Caenorhabditis elegans: one gene and its partner. Changing the gene in region 1 together with any one later gene gives a genetic interaction. Each region holds a gene or a part of one and is shown on either strand. Other genes may lie near its edges.

What was found.
Region 2: of wrm-1 (region 1) and nhr-25, changing one suppresses a phenotype caused by changing the other (phenotypic suppression), as found in Caenorhabditis elegans (one study listed by BioGRID).

What each region holds. Positions count from the first base shown.
Region 1 is NC_003281.10:5,720,436-5,728,000, forward strand, and holds wrm-1 (Armadillo repeat-containing protein wrm-1), read left to right. Parts: upstream 1-2,414; 5' UTR 2,415-2,447; coding exon 2,448-2,472; intron 2,473-2,523; coding exon 2,524-2,631; intron 2,632-3,174; coding exon 3,175-3,347; intron 3,348-3,404; coding exon 3,405-3,788; intron 3,789-3,977; coding exon 3,978-4,857; intron 4,858-4,906; coding exon 4,907-5,253; intron 5,254-5,305; coding exon 5,306-5,472; intron 5,473-5,528; coding exon 5,529-5,731; intron 5,732-6,211; coding exon 6,212-6,315; 3' UTR 6,316-6,680; downstream 6,681-7,565. UniProt on the Caenorhabditis elegans protein: Antagonistic role in the Wnt signaling pathway that operates in embryogenesis. When located at the cortex it has been shown to inhibit Wnt signaling during asymmetric cell division but when relocated to the nucleus it shows positive regulation.
Region 2 is NC_003284.9:13,006,315-13,015,218, forward strand, and holds nhr-25 (Nuclear hormone receptor family member nhr-25), read left to right. Parts: upstream 1-2,178; 5' UTR 2,179-2,274; intron 2,275-2,571; 5' UTR 2,572-2,577; coding exon 2,578-2,694; intron 2,695-2,703; exon of another isoform or gene 2,704-2,906; intron 2,907-2,951; coding exon 2,952-2,984; intron 2,985-3,076; coding exon 3,077-3,185; intron 3,186-3,457; exon of another isoform or gene 3,458-3,599; intron 3,600-3,792; exon of another isoform or gene 3,793-3,975; intron 3,976-4,024; coding exon 4,025-4,208; intron 4,209-4,258; coding exon 4,259-4,383; intron 4,384-4,432; coding exon 4,433-4,720; intron 4,721-4,835; coding exon 4,836-5,110; intron 5,111-5,436; coding exon 5,437-5,555; intron 5,556-6,013; coding exon 6,014-6,259; intron 6,260-6,676; coding exon 6,677-6,899; 3' UTR 6,900-7,648; downstream 7,649-8,904. UniProt on the Caenorhabditis elegans protein: Orphan nuclear receptor and probable transcription activator, required during development. Plays a role in male tail tip morphogenesis regulating the expression of the transcription factor dmd-3 in a negative feedback loop.

The DNA of each region.
Region 1 (7,565 bases):
ATTTTTACAATCCTCTTTCATTCACTCACTTGCATTCCAATTACTGATTCTATTTTCCATCTTCTTCCTCTCTTCTCATTATGCACAGAGTCTTTCTCTGGGTTAATTCGATACAATTCAAATCGTGTGTCCCGTCCCTCCAGTTGAATTCAATTCATTTTCGAATTTACCACCCCTCATTCATTCCTCCACTGGGTTTCTCTGGTCACTGTGGCGAACGAATGGTGCAAAAGGAGTCCATACATTGCGTCACACTGTCTGTGTATCTCTCGTTCAGCATACTATCTCATCGGACCGTTTCTCACACGGGGCACCTTTCCCCTGGTCATTCATTCACCCTCTGCTTGGGTCTGTTTGTCATCAGGCACATTCGTACACTTTCTTGTCCACCATTCACCCACACCATCTTTCCCACCACTCTATTTTTCTATAGATTTTACTCTGCTGCTCCAATTATCGACTTTGCCCAATTAGCCGTAGGTGTGTGGATTTTAAAAACTGTGTCATCAAGGCATCACTTTCAAATCCGTTTTACTGAGAAAGTGTCCTTGAATCGACGTTCTTCCGTTCGAAATCTTCACGCTTATGCAAACATATGGAGACAGATGTTTTCTGAAGCGATAGGGAGAAAAACGTGGGAAACAGGTGCAACAGTTGCTTTTATTTGCCAATTTTTTTTTGGTTTTTCTGCAAAATTTTCGACTATTTCTCTGCCTTTAATTTCCATTGAAAATTCCTGTATTTTTCGTAAATTTTTTGCCAAATTATGTTTTAAATTTCTCAAATTTGTACCCGAATTCACAGGAATCATTTAGAACACGATTTGTCGATATTGAAACAAAAAACTCAAAGTTAGTTGATTTTCAACAACACGAATAAGCTGAAAATTTCCGATTTATCAACATAAATCATGTGAAAAATGCAATTTTTGACTTGAACCCTACTTTTAGAGGTGAAAATTGAGGAATTTTGCAGATTTTCGGCCAGAAATAGTGAAATATCAGTTTTTTTTGTTAAAACTGAAATTTAGCAGAATTTCAAAAAGAAAAAAAAAACAGGTTTTGCATTTCACAAAAAAATGTTAAATTCTCTAAAATTGATTTTTCCTCGCCGCTGCTCTTGATTCTTCCAATTTCCGGTTCATTTTCAATTCCCCTAAATCCGGCTTTCATTTTTTCTTTTCCTTCTTCTCATCCTCACGCCTCACTTGATATCCTCAAAGTCATAGATTCAAATGTTTCTTCGTCACATTTTTGTCTCCGATGACACGCCTGATGATTTAATAATGTGGTCAAATTGATTGATTACTAGTTGGTTGTTGTCTCTTTCTCTACGAGTCGTGTACACACTGATTCCCTTCAGCCTGAGCAGGTGCATATTATCCATTCGCCAATGCTTCTCCTTTTTTTCGAGCTAACTCGCAAGGTTTTGATTAAAATTTAAATAAAAAACTTTAATCCCAAATCCAGAAATTTTCACATAAAACATTTGTGTGGCCTTTCGAAGTAAACTTCCTGCTCAACGGCATCACATTTTCTTTGATTTATTCACTAGATTAACTTTCAGTATTGAAAGCTTCAATCGAATTCAAAATGTATTGATTCGCGGCGCGGAGGTTTCTAGGCCACCGGCTGTGTACTCCTCTCGGACGGGCGATGCCATTCTTCTTATCAGTTTAAATCTTTTTTTCATCGCAAAACTTACTGATAAACTTTGTGAGTTACGTATTTAATAGGAATAATTTTCTCTCCGCTATTTTCGGATTAAATTTCCCCGAAACATTTTGCAACTGGCCGTTCGTCCTGCTGTTTGAACAGCATTCAAGTGTTGACCCCCCACAGAGTATATACCCATATGAACTGATTTATTGGTTACCCCCGATCGTTTTGCATTTATTATCCATTCACCAATGTTTCAGAAATTCAAAATTTTCTACAAGTGGCTGACTATTCGAAAAAAAAAAATAGAATAAGGTGTCAAAAAGTCTGTCAATATTGAAAAAAGCTCAGTGTCCACTTGAGTATGTTTGACTTGGAAGGTGTGAATAGCAGTTGCTCGAAAGACAATAGGAAAGGGGTTTTGTACTTTTGCACAGCATTCTGAGTTATTTTCTAAAATGAAAAAAATTATTTTTTAAACTTTTCTGTAAATTATATTAAAATTGAGAAAAAAACTATTGCTTTGATTCAAAAAACTCATAAATTAAACAATTTTTAAAATATTTTCTAGTTGCTGCAAGAATTAGATACAATTCTCACAAATCCAAAAGTTCGTAATTCTTTTAACTTCTCTTGAAACTTCTTCATTTTTTTGTGAAATCTCCACACACATCCGATTACTTTCCTTTATTCCCCTCATCAATGGCGTTTTCTCAGGTTCTCACATCGAAATTTCTCATTTTAGCTTAGTTTCAGGTTCCTCAACGGACCTGCAACCACCCATCTGAAATGGATGTGGATTGCGCAGAAACATGTAGGTTCCCCCTTGAAATAATAATTATTAAAAAAATCAATAAAATTTCAGTCTCGCAACCATGCACTCCGCTGAATTTCAATCCGATGACTCCGTCAACATCGAGAGTTTCAACACCAGTTCGGCCGTCTTCTACAATGTCTGCCAGACAATATTCAGGTGAGAAAGATATGAAATTTTGGCTTTACTTCGAAAAAAAGATTAAAAGCGGCCAATTTATGCTTAAGATTTTTAATATTCGGAAAAGAATTATTGTAATCTGAGAATTACTTTCATTTAAGCTGGAATAATTGAAAAGTGCTCCGAAAATTGTCTGAAAGTTGAGAATTGCCCGACAAAATTTTCGACAAATCATCGAAAATTTTTTTCAATTTCTCAAACTGAAACAAAAGTTATCTTCAGATAAAGCAAATATTATTTTCTACTGAAAACATGCCACACTGGCTCAATTACCGCGTACCCCTGATCTAGAATGATTGAATAAAAACTCGTTTGCATAACAATTAATCCAAGAATTTCCTGGTCGATAACATATTCCAAAAGGCCATTTCGCGCCCTTTTCTCTCTCGACCCTCTCCAATCACATCACCTTATCACTTCCCCCATTCCATTTTCGTATGTCTCGTGTGTCTATGTGTTCCCCATTGGAAACTTCCCTCAAATTACATACCTCTTTTCACATATTCATATTTCATTTTTCAGGTTCGCCGTTCAAGGCTCAACCTCAGAACATGGAACCGTCCAATTCTCGGGTGCAAGAACTCCGGGAAGCTGCTGTGGGAAAGCGATCATACACAAATGCTTGGATGCAGGGTACCTATGCACCGCCGCAGATGGCAGGACAACAACAAAGGTTTTCGAGGCCTCCGAGTGTGGTAAGAGATTTTTATAAGAATTCCGCGGCTTGAACAGATAATAAAATCAAATTTCAGATCGGCTCCACAATGTCTCACATGACGAATATGTCAGAAATGACCGCCTACTCGTACGGTGGATTGTCAATGCTCTCAGTCAACACTGAAATGGGTGAATTCAACAATTTTGTCAATCAGGCACCATATCAGCGAGCACTGACACGTGTATCGCAGGTTTCCGAGAATCAGGATCCGACGAATCGACAGTATCCGATGACAGCTCCCGAGATTATTGAGAATCTGGAATCAACGGAACTAATCAATCAAGCAGCAGCGATTCGAGCTTTGGAGCCAATTGTGAAAGCTGGTGGAATGTTGCAAACCTGGGGACCTAAAGGAGCCGAACCGATTATTCGAGCTCTGTTTCAAGTTCTTATTCCTCGGCCAGTTGAGAATGAGAATGTAAGTTTTGCATAAATGTTCGTTGAAGGTTTTCATGGTAGGTAGGAACATCGTCATCCCTAAGTGGATGCCTACAGCCTAATATTGTTTAAAAATCTAAAATCTAAATCTAAAAAAATCTTTCAAAAAAAAAAAAAAATATATATAGATGTATTAAAATATCGTTTGACAACTCCATATTTTTTGTAGGTAATCCGGAAAGCGTTTGAAATTCTCCACCACTCAATTCTTCTCTCCAACAAGGAAATCCGACGTATCGACAGGATGTTCTTCCGACTGAATGCGGCATTAATGGATCCCAATGGGCCGCCTGTGTTCAATGTACCAAAGCCATACAGTATCTATGAGATCGTGATGACACGTGCCATTCAACTTGACACGAAATTCGAGTCCAGTGCTATGGTTCTGCTCGTACATCTTTGTTGTAAACCTCATTTCATGAAGATTTTCTTTGGAGAAGATGAGACTCAACAGTCACCAGCACATCGACGTCTTCACAAAATAGTAATTGAATTTGCAATTGGAAACCTGAGAAGACCGGAAACGAAGTCAAAGAATAAGGGACTTTGTGTATCGATTATTAAGAATTTGTCGAATAAAAATGCAACTATCAAAGATATGTCAGAACGTCTTGGTGTTGTGAGCCTCTTTCATCAAATTATGCAGAACGAAGTGATCCACGAGGATTTGTTGTGGTCAACGATGCAGGCTCTTACCGTATTCTGTGGAGATGTTAAGAATGGAACACATTTTGTGCAAATGGGTGGAGCACAAGTTTTGTGCGGTCTTCTTTCGCATGGATCAACACGACTTCTTCACGAACTTCTGAAGTGTTTGAGACGAGTATCAGATTTGCCAGCGATCCAGGAGCAGGATATGAAAGAATCGATTCATTGTATAGTTCAACTTATTGGATGTTCGGATGTAACGATTGTTGAGCTAGCGACTGGAACTCTACGAAATATTGGACTTCATAACAAGATGAACAAGGCATTTATGGTGCAGGATGGAGTTACAAGTCATGCGATCGCAGTTCTTCGGACATCTGAACAGTTTACATATCAGCCACGTTAGTTTTGAAATATTCAATCTGAAATTCTAATTTACTTATTTTTCAGATGCCAATATAGATTTATATAGAAAGCAGATTCTGTCGATTTATGAAAATTGTCTATCCGTATTGAACAATGTGACTTCTATGGCACCTCAAGATATCAAAGAATCTGCAGTATCAGCGTGTAGAATGATCAGTGAGAATGCCGACTCCGCATATGTGCTCCTTCATTACTTTAACGTTGGAAATCGGAAGTGCAGGAAACTTGCGGTGACAGTAATGAAACGTGTCATTGAGACGGTTCCTGCTTTTGCTGATCCGTTTGTTGATCTACTTGGAACAACAAATGAGCCACTACCAATTTTATTGCTTCAAAGAGCATTCCAGAGTTTGGACGAATGGCGGAAAACTGTAAGCTATAAATTAAATTCGTAGAAACAAATAAATTATAATTGATTTTCAGAGCGTTGAAATGATGAATTGTGACGGTAGAAGTGCTGAGCAGAGAAGAGAATTAGATGACAGACGAAAAGATCACGAAGATATTGTAAAACGATCTGTGGGACTTTTAACGAATCTTTGTAGTCAGGCAAATCCAAGATTTTTCCACAGTTTGAAGCTAGTATTGACGTAAGTTTTTTACACTGAAAATCACAATTGAAATAATTAATTTCATTTTATTCCAGAAATGGCACGCTAAACCCCTTCCAATGGCTGACACATGAGATGAGTGACGGTATTCTGCAAGAGTGGCTAGCATTCATTTTGTCAATTTGTAGTCGTGACGAGTCACTGCAAACTTTTATGATGTACAGATTCCTGGAACAGGCAAAAATGACTGAAGCATTCTTTGCGGAACTCAAGGCTCGTCGGCAGAATTCGAATATTCGTGAGTTTTTAACTTCTGAAGAAACTAACAAAAAATACGAATTTTTAAAATACACAAACGCGAAATTTTTCAATTTTGCGCCAAGAATTACGGTAACTTTTTGTTGAATGCAAATATGTGCTTTCATAAATAGTTTTTTTTGTAAAAAATATACGTTTCAATTGAAATATTTGGGGGTTTTGTGAATTATTATTTATGAAAACCTATGAACAATCTATGAAAATTCAGCAGAAACTAAAATTTCATAATGCAGGACTTTTAAAGGCGCACACCATTTTGCATTTAACAAAAGCTTGTCGTGTCGAGACCGGGTACTGTATTTTTGGCGCAAAATTTAGCTACTTCCAGAACATTAAAAGCCTCTTCATTTCTATCACTGCGATAAAAAAAATTACAACCGTGTTTAGAAATTTTATAAATTCTGAAATATGAAATTTTTTATTCCCATAATTCCCTTTTACAATTCACGATCTATTTCAGAAACTATGTTGTCAAAGATCATCGATCTTGGTAGACATCAGCAGAGAATAGTTTCACAACAACATCAACAGCATCAAATGCAGCATCATCGACAACTAATGTGAATGAATCTTTGTGCGGGTACAGAATTCCCTACTCCCGGTGCACAGACACACAATCTCAATCAAATCGATCTTCCAGTTTTATTCATGTGCTATTATATATTTATCTTCATTCCATCCCCATGTTCCCTTATGTAGTTTCACATCAAATACCCACTTCATTTCGTTGTTCTCATTATCAGTATTTGGAGCATATCACTCCCCAATCTAATTAGTTTTTTCCCATCTATCCGTATTATTTGTTGCTCACTTCATTTCTCCAACCATCTCTCAATTATCTCATGTTCTATTACAAGTGCGAACTCTTTTCGACAATTTGATAACGGGCCCTTTTTTTTCGTCTATCGTGTATATGAATTATTTATTAGACTTTAATCTAGAAGACACAAGAAGATTCATCTAGAAGACACAAGAAGACGGACAAAAATTATGATGTAAATCAGAGAAGAGATCAGATATGAGATGAAGGAAGCAATGCGCCAAGCACGATCACCACCAGTTTCAACTGTGTGCACACCATTCGAAAACGTGTAGCAGTGCGCAAAGATGGCGCCAGTCTGAAAAATTGTAAAATTTTGTTACTTTTTTAGAGGATCGCTGGATACCCAAAATAAGATCTGAAGCAGGAAGTGGGCAAAGACGGAAAATGTATTCGGGGCACAAATGATGAACAGGGATAAGCCGACAAGAAGAAACTGAAATATTGAAAAAAAATTGCCACGTGTCACATACATACAGGCGGTCTCACTTCAAAGACATACCACCACGGCTACGAATTTTTGACAAGCAAAATGTGCAGGGTCAGAATGGCACAATGAATGAGTGCCATCATGATGAACCACACATAAACTGGCATACAGAAGCATGGATCTTGCGCAGTGGCTCCTAGCTCAGATCCCGATTGAGCTCTGCCACGTGGTTCCTCTGGGCGTTGGGTCCTAGATATTGAAATTTTATTGGGATTTCAGAACTTGGTTAATTCGATTGAAAACCTAGAAGTCGATGGACTCACTCAATATCGCGATTACACTGGTTCTCAAGCATATTATTCAGACACTTTATTTGAGTTAAAACTTAAAAATACATTTCATTTGTATTATTTTTCGATTCACGTGTTTTCATTATTTAAATATTTTTTGCGGAAAAATATTTCAACTAAAACACTTTTTGAATAACGCGCGCTTTTCTTGCGGGTTTCGCAACGATTACAGTACCCCACTGAAAATTTTCAAGGCGCGATTATGATTTTCGGA
Region 2 (8,904 bases), on another chromosome or scaffold:
AAGCGCCATTTGATTAGTTAATAGTCAGCAGCTTTGCGCCAAATAAAAATCACGCAACACCACACCACGCCGCGCGAAAATAAGTTGATGAAAACGCAACACTCTTTTGTAAGAAAATCCAGCAGATGCCGTACGGTCTGTCTCTCAATTCAATATTGTCTCTTTTATCCGCGCCATTTTCCAAATGCGGGACATTTTCATCGGCGGGCCCCCGGCGCCGCAAGTTTTTCTTATTTTCCTCCCTCTCTTCACCTATTTCACTCCATATCTTTCTCTCTCTCCTCGTGTTGCTACTGTTTTTTCACACCCTTCTTTCCTCCTCCATTCTACCATGCCAACGCAAATTTTCTTCTTTGATCAGGAATTCCTTGTACATTCATCTTCTATCTCTATCTCTCTGATTTCTCCATCAATCTCGCCAAATGTTTACATCTGGAAGTATTGTTGCGCACCTCACACTGAAATTTGATACTGTTCTTATCTGATTGAGCTTAGTTGAAACATATGCATAGCTTATTCAAAATTTTGTTAAAGGCGTCATTTGACATACTTCCAATTTTTCTGCAATATTACACTGTCTCCGGTTGTTGCGCAGCCCTTTCTTTTTTTTGCCCGACTTGCACTTATCTTATCATATTTTCACTGATGATGTCTATAGCGCCTTTAACTATTTCATACATATACAAAATCCCGGATATAGTCATTGCCATATTTTATTTTCCTTTTTTTCCTAAGTATTTGTGGAAAGTTTAATACGAAAACCAATAAAATACGTGTTTTGAACTTATAATATAGAAAAACCTATTTTAAATTTAGATTAAAAACTATTTAAACCTAACAGGCATACCTTTAATTTAACCAGACGATTCAATTTTTGATAATGACGTTATCATAATTATGCAAAAATGATTAGCTTTCTACAATATACATTGTTAAATATCTAAACTTTGTTGAAATACCAGCTCAAAATGAGAATATAACTTTTTTAATCTAAGAACTATCAATATTTTGACGAAATTTTATATTCTATTTTTTTTAAATAACGTTTCTAGTCTTAGCTGAGCATGTTGCTTTTTGTGCATTTTTCGAGAATAACTTTTTTATTGTTCAGTATTTTTTAGAAAATAATTTCCTGTCTTGACTCTCTGAAATATTTTCGATGAGCTATCTCAATTAATCTCAATTTGGCTTCATTGTTAGTACACACGTTTAGAACCTAATGTTTTTAAGCTTCAAATAACCTGTAAACTTTTTTTTTTAATTCGGTCATTTTTGAGCGAAAAAAGTTTCACCCAGCGCCCCGCCCTTTTTTTAATAAAAAAAATGTCCAAAAACCAATTCTGCACGGTGAGATATCATCAAGATTCAGTAGAAGTTTTTAGATGCGAAATTTCAGACGTAGAGAACAGGATGACAAATTTTTATACTGGTAACATCTAGTAACATTTGACTTCGATTTTGATAATTTGTCTTATTTGTACTATTCATTTTTAAGCGGTTTCCTTGTTGGGATAATTTCTATCATATCGAAGCAGATAGTTTTTAACCGGAAGTGCTTTTCTATACAAGCATATGTCGAGTTTGTTTTATTTTGTTTTAAAAATTTATTTTATTTGGCGCTTCTAAAAATCTTTTTCCCAGGCTAACTTATATGGTCCTATTTACGTTATCTCTCGATATCTCCTCTTAACCGGCTGATTGCGTAATAAAATGTAGATAGCGAGAAAAAGGGGTGGAGGCGACTTTTAGGGTAGGCGATGAATCAAAGCAGTCTAGGTAGGTAATATAAGTGAATTGACGAAGAAAAAAAATGAAGAACAATGCAAAGAAAATCAAATCTCCTTTTCCCACCCGGGGGGCAGCAAGTGAGACTATAAAAAATCGAGACCCACCGTCCCTGCGGTTTTCGCGCGCTGCGCAGAGAGAACAAGAGATATTCAAGTTGAAGTTACTGGGCAAAAAACGAACTGTAGCGGTGCCTGGCACGACCCCTGACGATACGCCACTGAATTGCCATACTCACACGTTTGCTTTCTCCGTTGTCGTCGTCGATCGTTTTTCTTTACCTCCCGTCAAGAAGAAGAAGACCCCCACGTCCTCTTCTTTTCTCTTCCTTTTTTTCATCATTTTTTCCCTCTCGATCATCCCCTTCTCTCCCATCGACGTTCACTATTTCAGGCCTCCGCGTCGACCTTCAACTACGACTCTCTTCTATACATAGGTAGCCGTTGGCGGATTTTAGTGGACGAAGAAGACGAGCGGGTGTGTCTTACGGTATGTAGGTCCCCTCGGGTAGAGCATGGTGGAGGGTGCGAGACAACCAAAGACATCCAACGATAGGCTCGCTGATGCCGCCAGTGGTGTGGTGGGAGGAGATCGACCGGCCCAAGAGATCCACACGGCAGCGAACCACTTACTCTCACTTTTCCGACTCCGCCTACTTTTTCTTCCGTACCGTGCCATCCTTGGACAGGTCCTTCATACCTTGTGCCATTCAGCTATCCCTTTCTCAAATTCATTTTTCTGTTTTCAATTTCATTCGAACATACAGTAATCCGAGATCTGTTCCAGAAATAAATGACTGACGTCGAGAGGATGGTTCTGCGACCGAATCATGAAGGCGAGATGTGCCCGGTTTGTGGTGATCGAGTCTCTGGATATCACTACGGCCTTCTGACGTGTGAAAGTTGCAAGGTTAGTCTTAGATGTCTTCACTTTTTTTCCGCGGGAAAAAAGTGGGTGTGTGGCAAAATGATAAGGTCATTTGTAGTTAGTGAGAGTCCCGACTCAGGGACACGTTCGAGCCCTTCAAGGACAGACAACTCTCACCGCCAAAATCATTCACTTGTTGCCATATGACCCTCATCGGGCGGTCATCTCTAGTTTTTCATTTGATTCTTTTTTTTCCATTTATTGTTTCATTCTCTCCATCAATAATTTTCTCTTTACAGGGCTTCTTCAAACGCACTGTTCAAAACAAGAAGGTGAGTACATACATATGTATAAAAATATAACACTGTAGCTGATGTTATCTAAGTATTGTTTTCGACTTTCTCCAATTTGTCCCTTCTTTCAGCAATATCAATGCTCTGCCGAAGCCAACTGCCACGTGGATCGTACTTGCCGGAAGAGGTGTCCAAGCTGTCGATTCCAGAAGTGCCTCACAATGGGAATGAAAATGGAAGGTAAGATATCTATCATATCTAAAAGAGCGCAACCGCTCTTCTGTAAGAGCACATACTGTGCTGACTTCTTGATTGATGGGATAATAAGGGATGTAACCGTTATCGAAAGTCCATCTCTATAAAAATTTTGAATTTGCACTTTAAGCAGCGTCATAAGCTTGTTCCACGTAATCATCGCGCAAGGCTTACACTTTTTGTGGATTTCTACTTCTCCTTTCTTTCATCTCTGTTACATGTTTCTCTCTCTCTCGTTTTTCTTTTCGTTTCGTTTTTGCATGACAACAAAAACGATATATTGAAAAGAGAGATGCAAAATTGGATATGAAACGGTGAGAGTGGAAGAGAAGAATAGATCTGACAGTCACCGAAAAACCGGTACCTGGAGACCTGGGGGTGGAGGCGCGCATCTCAAACGCTCTATGGCAGGCGCGCAACCATTTCAAATGTTGGAGAAAAGTGAGGCAACACCTTGGAAAACAACTGAAGTTCAGTGAAGTTTTATTAGGACATCCGGTGCATCATAAAAGAACTATTGGCATTCGGGGAAGTAGTAAAAGTGCAAAACAATAGTAGCCGGCTCGATAATTATAGGTGCTGAACAGTACCTTTGTTGGGAAAACATGAAGTGCCGAACTCATTCATTGCGGCGCGTTTTTCGTGAGGATCTCAATTGCAGGGTGTCGCATGTTTTGCGGCAAAAATGACTGCACTTGCCCACTCTACTCCAGATCAAATGAGCCGTGTGTACAGTCATCTGGCGGGTACAAACGGGGAACTGTAAATTGAAGGGGGAACATCGAAATGAGTGTGTGCACTTGGATAATGACTATGTTTTGTAGCGGTGCGTGCCGATAGGATGAGAGGTGGACGAAACAAGTTCGGATCGTTTTATAAGAAGGATCGGGCTCATCGTATGCAGAGAAACGCAATGAGAGTGAGCACAGTGCAAGTTCCAGCCGTCCTTGGAGCACAATCACAAGCACAAACATTCTATCAACCTCCAGAGCACCAGGTTTCAAGCAGGTGAGCTTTATTTCTTATATTTCTTTCAACTTATCAATCTCATATTTCAGCACAACTGACCAGAACAACCAAATCAACTATTTTGACCAAACTAAAATCAAAACTGAATATATCAAAACTGAGTATGATGCACATCTCCAGAGTCCAACATTGTCCAGTAGCACTAATCAGCAGCGTAAGAATATTTTCTGGAGTTGTTAATAGCATCAAATTATAAATTTCAGTTTCTGTTTCCGATTTTATCATGAGACCTGGATACTTAGTTGACCCACAAGACAGCTTGGCAGTACTTCTTGGGAGCACAATTGACGACCCACTTCTCAGGCATACCTTCCCAGCAGCTTATCAGTTGAATGAAGTCAAACAGGAGCCATTTGACTATTCGGAGCAGTTCATTCATCACTCATTGCACGACTATCCAACTTATACCAGCAACACTACCAATTATGCTACAATGATGCCAATGACAACTGTTTCCAGCACACAATCCTTGGTCACTTCGACTTCTTCTAGTAAGTTTTAGTTTTTTTATCGCTTTTTCTTGTCTTCAGTTTATAGTTTCAACATTTCAAATTTTTGATTAAGTTTTTTTTTAATTTTTGAAATGTTAACATTACTTAATTTCAGCAACAACTGGCCGAATGACAGAAGCTAGCAGCACATCACCAATTCTCCCACTTTGCCCAGCACCAACTGAAAAAACGGTGGACCACTTTTACAACAGCTCGATCGCCGAAATGTGCAAAACATTACCCGATGATGCTCAAATTGCTCGAATTTTCACAAGCGTAAAAGGAACTAGCAAACCTGAAAAGCACGCATTTTCCATTCAAGTCGCAGAGGAAAATTTGAAAGATATCGTGATTTGGGCAAAAAATGATCAACTATTCAGCAAATTATCGGTAAAATAATACATACAACAATATAATAATCTAGGCACTCTCATTTCCCACCAGCGGTTTTTTTCTAATATTTTTATTCTCTATTTCCCACCCTGATGAGATGGGAATAATGTAGATAAATTGCTCGCTTCCGGTGATCAAAAGAAACAATCGCCGCTATAAAAAGAGGCGCTCCTTCTCAAAAGGTACATCCCCATACAAACACACCTCTATTGTTTTCATTACGGACACCCATTATGTACTAGGAGTAATTGCACCGCAACCTTTTTATATCCTGAGTGTGATAAGTAATTGGTTGAAGATTTACTAAAGTGCATTTATTCCAGTTGGATGACCAAATGATTCTGTTGCAAACATCGTGGACAACCGTTCATATCGTTGATATCACTAATGCAATGGTCCACGGAAATCTTCTTTCGCAGTATAAAATGTCAAATGGTGATGAGTAAGTTGTTAAAATTTCTTTGAGTTCCATTCTTCCTAAGGCTCGGAAACAATTTTTGTGGAACGTTTGATTCTGGCTATTTAATGAGTCAATCAACTTCCAACGCAACACAACTACTATAAACAAACCGATCTGACAGCGGCGTCTATAAGATTAGGCTATAAAGATTTGGCGATAAATCTTGACTCATCTATCTCGATTACCCACCTTTTTTGCCTCTCGCAACATTGGGTGCCGACATGACGCAAGTCTTGATTCTCGGCACCAGATAAGATCTTCGTCCCGCGAGCTCATCGTATAAAGTATTGCGCATTTTCCCACTACCGGCATAGGCTCTAATAAGGATTAGGCTACCATTTTAGTTACGTAATTGTTGTGAAAACGAGCCGGTGGTCTTTCAAAAGTTCAAGACCTTTTAAGGCCCAATAAACCACTATAAAATCGTATTCTTTTTGCAGAGTTCCCGTCGGTCTTGTAGCTCTTCTTGGCAATCAAACATTCGTATCATCATGGAATGATGTTGTTATTCGGCTTCGAAATATGGGATTCACGAATTTCGATTATTGTGCTTTCCGATTCTTAGCCCTTTTTGACCAATCAATGGACTCTTTCCCAGCAGTCTCTACTGCTCGATCTCGAGTACTCCAATCTTGGCGTGAAGTGAGATGTACTACCGCCTTTCTGGAAATTTTCGAACAAATCAGGTAAACCTTTGGCCTTCGTAAAAACCCATCACAAATCAATCTTTCCCCTCGCCTCCACACAAATTAGCAACGTTGCCGTATAATTAGTGCTCATCTCTCCCTCCAAAAACTTGTTGTATACAGGAGACAAAGAATTGGGGAGAGAAGAGAAGCATCGGAAGAGTGGAGAAAAAAACTTATAATAGGAAGGCTCATTTATTCTGGTTGGATAGGTGCGCGAGGAGAAGGAAACAGATTAGAAAACGGGGCACAATATGTATACGGTATTGTTGCGCAGCAGGTGGCACTAAGAACGGGGAGAGAATCTTTACTAAATACATATGAATAGACAGAAAACAACTTGACTTATGAATATGCATTGGGAAATATGAATAAGTCGATTAATTACTTCTTACAATCTATTCTTTCTAATTTCAGACGACTCGCTTACGACTCACTACGGTACTTATGGAACCTTCATTCAAACTGCCCCACGAACTGGGAGCAATTCTTTCCGGAAGCCTCCTTGGTTCTTGAAATGATTCGCACTACTGTCAACCGATCGGCTAGCAGTAGCGTCACCGCAATCACTCAGGTCCCAGCAATCCAACTGCCAACCCCACAAGCCACATACACTGCTGTGCCGTACATGGCATCATAATGTCTCTGTCATAGGAGCTGAAAACTTCCAATGGAGTCAGTCAGCAACTCCCTTTGTTTAGCGATCTCGCTCAACTCTTCCATTTTTACGGGACCGGTTTTTTCTGTTGTCAATTACAGACAGCCAGTATTTTCTGCATAATTCCCTTATTTCACTTATTCAACTTTATAATATCAATATCATTTTATACCTCAAAAACCTCCATCCATGCATTTCAATTCATTTTCTTCAAGATCTATTGAATATCTTGCATTTTTCGTGCTGTGTCAGCTTTTAGTCGGTTGTACTTTATTTAAATCATTTGCATTTTTTCAATTCTCATTTTGTCTCAATATCTGTGTATCCTAGTGCCCAAACCCTCACAGCTTTTAAATGTATTTTGCTCTATTTTTTTTTCATTCAAAAATCTTTCCTCTCAAAACCCATTTTCCTAGGTCACGAGCCAATCAAAATTGGCACTTTATTATTATTATTGTTTCTCCCAACAAAAATCTGAAAATTCCGAAAAAACGTTCTCTGCCGAACTCTTCTCATCTTCCCAAAACTTTAAGACTGTTCTCTTCTGCAAAACGGATAATTGTTTTACATGCAATTAATATATTTGTATTTTGTCTGAATTCGCCCCCATTTTATTTCTTTATGGATTTTTATGTTTGGTTGTTTTATTATTCTTTTTTTCTTTGATTTTGATCAATCAACACACCTCACTTGTTTTGTATGTGCAGATCGTATATAAAAATTGAAATTTTAAATTATTTGAAATACTTTTACAAAAAATATTAAAATGAAGTATTGCGATTGTAGGATGAACTTTCAGGTTTTTGTGGATTTAAAAAAATAAGACTTGGTTTTTATTTGGTTCTGAAAACTTTCAGAAAACTAGACTTTAGTTTAAAATTTTTAAGACCAATCTTTTAAACTTAAATACTTTGTAGAGTGAGTACAGTTCACTCTGGATGTGAAAGTACTTTTCCCACTTATCTGTCTATTTTTGCCCTTTATTTTCCTCGCCTTGTCTACAAAGGGCGTTTTTCCTATATTTTGTGTCAGTTGCCATATAGGAGTATTACTTTCAGAACGAAAAAAAGTGAATGGTTACTTTTCGATTCTGCGTCTTCTTTGTAACTATTGAACCTTAAAAAATGACAATAAATATTCCACCTATAGGTAAAAAGAAGAGAAAAAAATCAAAGCCCCTTGTCTCCCTACGCTTTTTTCTTCCACCACCCACGGAGAGGCCCAACGATTTAACCGAACTGGTTTTATATGTCTTCTTCGTCTTTTCCATTTTTTTTTGGTCGATCAAAGAAAGAAAATGAGAGGTACCCCCACCCTCACACGCACCGACGATTCTGCAGTTTTTCAACTTGCGCAGACATCATTCTGAAAGAAGGAGATGAAGACACACTACACGCATAAAAAATCGAGAGAAGCAGTTAGATGAAGGAGGAAAGGAAGATGTCATGAAATTCGGCAAATCGATTACGATGGTTCTGGTATTGCATGAGAAAATCATACAATAAAGTTAGGTTAATGTTGGAACAGTGGAAGGGATCAAAAGCTTGAATTTGTAGATGCTTACAATAATTGTTTTTTTGTGTAGGTTTAAGAAAATTGTGCAGCAACATATGTTATAGCATTATCTGGTTATTTGATTTTAGCAATACAAGTTATTTCGGGACAGTTTCAAAAATAGAGCAGTGAAACACAGAAATTGATTGGTTTTTAATTTTGAAATCCTATACCGTATTCCCTTGATTAGTCTTGTAGGAAGACTATTTTCCGATCTGCCCGTAATGATGCAAAATCAAGAAAACGTGATTTTACGGCGTTGGAGCCATGAAAAAACGTAATTTTTCATCATTTTTTTTCCAATCGTTCAATTATTCCAAGTTTATTTTACCCCAATGCTGACAAATTTACTGAGTTTTCCCACAAAGTACGACTAGTTGGTAAAATATGAATGCAGGACTATTAGGGTCTGCAAAAGAAATTTTTGATTATC